2 linked regions of the Arabidopsis thaliana genome follow. The protein of the gene in region 2 interacts with the protein of the main gene of each other region in a pairwise test. Each region holds a gene or a part of one and is shown on either strand. Other genes may lie near its edges.

Region 1 (3,929 bases), on a different chromosome or scaffold from region 2:
AAACTCAGCGACTGAGAACCGAGCTTCGGGAGAAACCTTTACTCCGGTATCTGCTAATCATCCACCGCCTTTTTCTCCTTCATCGTCATCTTCATCATCATCATCTTCAGACGGCGCTGAGATTGTGCTTAAGCTGCCTCGTAATTGGCCTGAATGGGCAATCCCGAAAGGTCCCGGGAAGGATTCCAACAAGCCTTAGAACATTTCAGATGCAACAGAGAGCCAAAAGAAGTAAATTTGAAGCTGCACTCTTAAGTTAAGCTAGTTATGGAAATCTTCTTACATATTGCTTTCTGTTTTTGTCAGGAGTTTATTTAACAATCTCTGGAACTACAACAAACTATTCTATCTACTATCAAATCAATTATTCATTCATGAGTATAATAATAGCTGAAACTTTCTGTGTTACAACAATTTCACCATAACTAAAATTGCATTTGCATTTGAATACTGCAAACGCAAATTGGCTTTGTATACGCATCTTGTTTATATATGGATTAGTTTTTTCTACATAATTAATGAAAGCTTTTGTAAACTAACTCTTGAGTACTAACTAATAAGAAAGTTCCGTGGCAAAATAATTTCCGAATCATCGGATAATCATCCATTTACGAGGTTAAGTTCCGGGAACTGCTGGTGTTAAGGTTCTGGAAGATCTCCGGAAGATTGGCATTAGTGAGTTTGATTCTCTTGCTGATCTGTTGTTTGCCATGCCATGAATATGTGCAACAGCTCTTCTCTGTGTAGTGTTCATCACACATGCTTCAAACTAAGCTTATGCAGCTCCTTCTCGACTAGCTTGTCGCTTGAGTTGTCTATGCCGCGGTATAGAGGTTTAAAGTCGTCATAAACCTGAATCTGACCCTTGAAATCAGCATTAGACAGTCCTTAAACTTTTAGAGCCAGCAAATATGAAAGACAATCCTGAAAAATGGATAATCATAAGACCACAAAAGTCTTTTGAAACCATTTAAGATCAGGAGCCAGTACACTATCCGTCTATCAGAATCTGGCAATAAATATTATCAGAAGCTTATTGATTATGAAGTTAATACATCTTAAATAGAATCAGTTAAGCGTTTTTTGTAAATCTAAATCACATGTGAAATTTCTTTATGTCACGTTTTCATTTGTGTAAAACAATATCTTTTGATTTATTAAGCAAATAATTTGCAGCTAAAGCTCTCAAGATTCAAATAAATTGAAATGTAAGTAGTGTAAGTAGTGATTTCTTATAGAAATAGTTGAAATCTAAAAGTATTAGGACACTGATGTAAGTATTGTTAAACTAAAGAGATCTATCAGGAAATCAAATCACTATAGTTTTTTTTTTTTTTTTAAATTCCTTGAGTTTATCAAACAAAAAAATGTAAATGTCCCTAGCAAGTACTGTAGGTTCATTTTTTTTGTTTCAAAAGAGTATGTTATTTCTTAAAAATCGCCAAAGATAGATAAGATTCGAAATTTGCATAAATGTGGCAATAAATATTATCAGAATCTTTTTATTGAATAATGAAGTTAATACACCTTAAATAGAGAATTAAGCGTTATTTAGATCTAAAACCACATGTGAAATTTCTTTATGTCACGTTTTTGTTTGTGTAAAACGATCTCTTTGAGTTAATTTGCAACTGAAAGCTCTCAGCATTTTACATTAATTGCAATATAAATAGTGATTTCTCATAGAATTAGTTCAAATCTTAAACTATTAGGACAGTTACGTAAACATTGTTAAACTAAAGGGACCAATATGGAAACACAAATCACTGTAGTTAATTTTTATTATTATCTTGAGTTTATCGTCTATCGTGTTCGAATTCTCTGTCGCTTACTTAAACACAGTCAAATTCATTTTCTGCCTTAGAAAAGATTTTTATCGAAAATCGACGTTTTTGAAAAAACTCAAATTATCGTCGTTTTGTTCTCAGATTTCTTCTGCTCTCTTCTTCTTCTCCTTCTTCTTCGTTCCACCGCCTCTGTTGCTTTATCTTCTTCTTCCTTCCTTCGATTGTTGATTACGTCGGTGGATCTTTGTTCTCCTCTGTGTTGTTTTCATTGCTAGATTTCGTCAATGATTGGCTTCTCACGATTCGATTTTTCCGGCTCCTGTTCTTAATTTCCTCTGAGGTAGATTAGTAAAACTCTTTGTCTCGTAAACATTGTTCGATGATGAAATTAGAAAGTTCTCACTCTTGTTTGCCAAATTTGGGATATTTCTGGAATTGAAAATGAATCGTCATTTTTTTCAATTTCTGAGGATTTTGTTACAATTGTTTTTTATTTATGTTAGAATTGAGATTGTGTGATGAATATCAGTAACCCTAGACAATTGTGAAATCAAAGCTATGAAAATCTTTTGATGCTATGTTTCCTATGATACAGAGAATGATGGATGAGGGATCAGTAGGGGATGTGAGTAGGATTGATGAAGCTGATGTTGCTCACCTTCAATTCAAGAATAGTGAGCAGTCGTTTAAACCGGAGAACATTGAAGTCCGGGAAGTAAAAGAAGTGCAGGTTCAGAGAGAAGCTGGTTCTCCTGATTGTTCTTATGGTGTAATAGCAGATTTTTTAGATGGTAAGAATGGTGGTGACCATGTGGAGCTTATAGGGAATGAACCATGTTCTAGCCGGCAGAATACAAATGATGAGGGGGATGTTGTCGAGGAGTTGACTGTTAAAACTTGTGAGGGATCGAGTATGGCTATAGTTGGTAGACCAAGTAGTAGAGCTAGATTAGAGATGAATCGCAGTCAGTTTCTGCATCGTTTTCCGCTAGACGGTGATTTACCGGGTAGTAGTTCTATGAGTAAGAAGGTAATTGACAGGGGAACAGTAAGTATCTTGAGAAATGCTGGGAAAATGTCTTTGCCTGAGACTTCAAATGGACAACTGGCTATTATTGCTGTTAATGGAGAAGCTAATGAACATTTGACAAATGTTGAACGAAATCCTGTACCTGTAGAGGCATTGTCTCATGAAGGCATCAAGACAAAGATGTTATCGCAGTCTGGGTTTTCTCAGTTTTTTGTTAGAAAAACATTGAAAGGGAAGGGAGTTACTTTCAGAGGCCCGCCAAACAATAGATCTAAAGCGAGGAATATGGATCAGCAAACTGTAGCTAGTTCTGGTAGCGCTTTAGTAATAGCTAATACTTCAGCAAAGATTTCTAGCAGCATCCCTTTGGCGGCTTATGATGGTTTGCCGTGCTTACCTTCCAATACCAGTAAACCATCTTCTTGTGCTAATCCTTCAGATACACATAGAGGTTGTGGAGGTGAAGGTTTAAGTCTGAGAGAATGGTTGAAGTCGGAGCGGCAGGAAGTTAATAAAGCAGAATGTATGTATATCTTTAGGCAGATCGTGGATCATGTGGACTGTTCTCATTCTCAAGGAGTTGTTTTATGTGACCTGCGACCATCTTCATTCAAAATTTTCAAGGAAAATGCAGTAAAGTATGTGGTTTCAGGTTCTCAACGAGAGTCTTTTGACAGCAACATGAACAAAGAGACTTTAAGTCAACTCGAAAACCCTCTGGTTAGAAGACGGTTAGGAGATACTTCTAGTCTCTCTATCCCTGCAAAGAAGCAGAAATCAAGTGGACCAAGCTCTAGACAGTGGCCTATGTTTCAACGAGCTGGTGGCGTCAATATCCAAACTGAAAATAATGATGGCGCGATACAGGAGTTTCATTTCAGATCTAGTCAACCTCATTGTAGTACAGTTGCCTGCCCTTTTACTTCAGTGAGTGAGCAGTTGGAAGAGAAATGGTATGCGAGCCCTGAGGAGCTCAGGGGTGACATGCGTTCAGCCTCTTCAAACATCTATAGTTTGGGTATTCTTCTTTATGAGGTATGCCATCTTAATTGTAGCTTTTGACCTGCAATTGTAAGTATGTACATCCATGAGTTGAAATGTGAATCTGCAAG
Region 2 (3,929 bases):
GCTTTTGAATTTTCTATGGTTAGGTTGAGTGATATTTTAACAAACATTATCACCTTTAACTTTAGTTAGAAAATACTGCATTTAGGAAAATACTGTATTTTCTTTGCGAAAAATATAAATAACGTTTTTTTTTATTACGTAGAAACATAACCATTTTTCTTAAAATGCTGAAATTCTTTACTTCATACAGAAAAATACATTACTAAAATACGAAAGAAAAGCCACCCACAATCTTAAACAAACGGTGAGAAACACTAATCAAGTTCAACAGTCTCTCCATCAAACAGACTCCAAAGTTGCTCAACGTCAAACGCCAAAGTGGCCCCATGTTCAGCTGTCGTCGCTTCAGGAACAATCGCATCAGCTTCTTGGTTTTCCCCCAGTAAATTCTCCAACCACATATTATCTCCATTCATTAGATTATTCACAAAATCATCTTTCTCATCATCTTTGTTACATGTGATACTATTTTCACAAACATTATTTTTCTTGAGTCCAAGGCATGAAGGAATTAAATCAACTTCTGGCAGACCATTGAGATGGCTGCAACCATTGTTAACAGAGAAGGATCGAGGTCGAGGCTTAAAAACACCGATTTTTTGGACCGGTGTTGTAGGAGGGGAAATAATGTTTTTCTTTTTCATTTTAGACTTACAACACGAAGACTCATGTTTTTTACTCAGATGGGTGTTCCAGTAATTTTTGACATCATTAGCGGTCCGACCAGGCAATCGACCAGCAATCAAGGACCACCTAAACATTGTTAAATAATATACATATAAGTTATTAGTGTTGAACTTATGGCTCTTGAAATAACCATTAAAGTAAACAATACCTATTTCCTAGAAGCTTATGAAGGCGAAGAAGAAGATCAACTTCATCATTGCTAAGTCTTCCTCTCTTGATACTTGGCTTCAAATAGTTCAACCATCTTAGTCTACAACTCTTTCTGCATCGATTTAGCCCTACATAACCAATAGTTGACATTAATTATACCAACCAAGACGGCTTTTGGGTCATTTTCTATGTTTCATCTTGAAGAATCTAAGCACACCAATAGAAAGATTAAACTGTTTCAACACAGTAACCGTTTGTTCATAAATTTTCACTGACTTCACTCACCAGAAGACAGCCCAGTGAAATAGTTTAACAACTTTACATGAGCTTAGCATCTTCCTTGTTTGTGAAGAATAAGCTATATATATATATATATATATATATATATATATATATATGCTACGTAAATAAAAAATAGTATAACTTTTTTATTTATATAAAACTCTTCGTTTAAATAAACTGCATAAAGAATTATTCTGAATAACCAGTTGTTTTTTTTGTTTTTTTTTGTTTTACCATACACTAGCATATGAATCAATAATTTGCTCCTTAAAACAAAAAGAAAAGTAAAATAAAGATTTCCGAATATTATATATAGAGAAGAGAATATTCTTAGTCATGAATATATCTGTGTGTGTAACATACCAGCTCTCAAAGGAACTTGATGCCATTTGCCTTCTCCATACTTATCAATACATAGCCTCAAGAGACTATCTTCTTCAGCAGTCCATGCACCTTTCCTCAACCCTTTGGACGAACCCTCCATGGACCAAAGAAAAATTAATATAAAAGTATTTTATCGGATTATTCTAAAACTTTTTTAAAAAAGGCCGAGGAATAGGGGGTTATTGTGGCTTCCCAAATCCTGGGAGGACTTATTGATAATGTGAGCATGTGAGCGAATAGGTATATATATACACGTGAAGGGCATAGGAAAATGACGTGCATGTTTGATATCCACATTTCATGTATTTGCGGTTCTGCTTAATTTACTAAGTTATTGTTTGATTTGACTAGAGAAAAAGTTCATAGCACCTTTTCCAGTACTTAAGAAAAACAAATTACACGTTTCTTATCAAAATTAGGAGAAAGGACTAGTAATGATTGGTCTCAGAGGGTTCATGATTACAAGGAAGAGTTATTTCATGCACGAGAAATAGAACAAAATAAAAAAAATAGGGTGCACCTTCTTACAAAAACTTTTGGAGTATTTTTCTTTACTGAAAATTTTGCAAATAATGTTCACAAACTCATATTTCGTCTTATCATTGTTACATGTGAATCTGATACCACCATATTTGTTAATGCTTACTTTGAAAGAGCTAACTTCTGGCTGCCCGTTGAGCCGGCCGTTATAGAATTGAGTTCGAGGCTTTATAACATTGAGTCTTTGGATCGGTGACGTAGCTGAACATGTAGTTTCCCTCTTTCTCATTCTGCTCTTACAACACGGTTCTTCTTTCTTGTTGAGATGGGTGTTCCGGTAATTCTTGACATTATTAGCGATCCGACCAGGCAATCTACCGGCAATCGGTGACCATCTAAGCTTGCATTGGAACAAGTTGTATTGGATAATTACATTATGTAAATAAATTAGATTTGTGTGTGAGGAATATAAACTTGTGTCTAATCAATATAAGTGACTCAATAGTTTACAACAATAGTATATATACCAGCTCTTAAAGGAACTTGATGCCATTTGCCTTCTCCATACTTATCAATGCACTGCCTCAGAGACTATCTTCTTCACCATCCCATGTACCTTTCTTCAACTCAGTGGACGAAGAAGCCTCCATGAACCAAAGATAATCACTAAAAGTATCACAACCAAATTATTTAAAAACTTATAAGTAAATTGCTGATGAAGAGGGTATACATACTATGGCTTACACAAATCCTTGAAAGACATTTGACAATGAGAGTATGTGAGCTATTATATATGTACAAGAAGAGCGTGCATGTTTGATATCCACATTTCATGTCAATATGCAATGATCGATTGCTTCCGTGGTTGCAAAGAGAACAAATTTTCCAAGCATGAAACACATAGCCATTGTGCTTCTAATATCTTCCATGCTTCCAGCCCAATTCATTTCTGGATTTGAAATACAACCCCAAGCTTGTGGTCCATTTAATGTAGCGTATAAATCGCTTAGCCTGCTTGAAGTAAAACATCTTGGGCTACTCATGTGCCGTGATAGATAGCTTATTTGCATAAGCAATACCTAGTCGTGTAGTTATCCGATAGAAGCGACTTCAATTCCCACAATAATTTGATACTCCCTTTCATCTGCCAATCTTTTTTCATTTCTATTTTATACTTTTTCACATTCTTTTTTGTCTCGACATCGTCGACCTCTTTTGGTCTCCACTAGTTGTTACTACTATATATGTAACTCTCAATGTAACATACAAGCTAAACCAAATAACTAAAAGTTACAACTTTCCACATAGTACTAGGTTCTAATCAATGCTATGCGTGGACGTAAAATTTATAAGAAAAATATATATTATTTGATTACATTTATCATCTGATTTAATTATTTAATTATTTTCTATGATTAAATATTTTTGATGATGCACATATTTCTTTGACATGAATACAGAAAAAATAACAGTAATCTATCCTTAACATTGCAAATTATATATAACTTTTGCCTTTTGGTGGTGCAGATTTCACTGTGAAAAATGAGTTTTATGCAAAAAAAAAAAAAAAAAAAAAAAAAAAATCCTTCAAAAATGTTTTCTACAAGTTTACCCCCCCCCCCAATTTATAAAGAATGCAGATCAAACTTAGGAAGTTGAATTTAATGTGCAACATAACCATAACGTGCATCTTAAATGAGTTTAGTACAGTCACATATATTAGTATTCTTAAATTCGAAAAATAGGCTTTTTATTGTAAAAGTTTTGATTTGATATAATATTTATTACAATTTTGGAAAATTGAAAGTGGTGACCGATGATTATATTGCAGGTTAAATTAGATTTCGTGGAGTTGATTTTTATTATTTGCAACTTGAAGGTAATTACAGTTATATTTTATCTCTCTAAGAGAAAAGACTACCATCCTTTATAAACATGCAGACAAT

The links.
Region 1: the proteins of MYB90 (region 2) and SPA2 interact in a two-hybrid assay, tested with the Arabidopsis thaliana proteins (one study listed by BioGRID).

The regions. Positions count from the first base shown.
Region 1 is NC_003075.7:6,769,778-6,773,706, forward strand, and holds the start of SPA2 (SPA1-related 2), read left to right. Parts: upstream 1-1,827; 5' UTR 1,828-2,127; intron 2,128-2,382; 5' UTR 2,383-2,385; coding exon 2,386-3,852; intron 3,853-3,929. Other genes in the region: AT4G11100 (gelsolin protein), read left to right, coding at 1-199.
Region 2 is NC_003070.9:24,761,726-24,765,654, reverse strand, and holds MYB90 (myb domain protein 90), read right to left. Parts: upstream 1,715-3,929; 5' UTR 1,604-1,714; coding exon 1,483-1,603; intron 966-1,482; coding exon 836-965; intron 754-835; coding exon 255-753; 3' UTR 114-254; downstream 1-113. UniProt on the Arabidopsis thaliana protein: Transcription activator, when associated with BHLH12/MYC1, EGL3, or GL3. Promotes the synthesis of phenylpropanoid-derived compounds such as anthocyanins.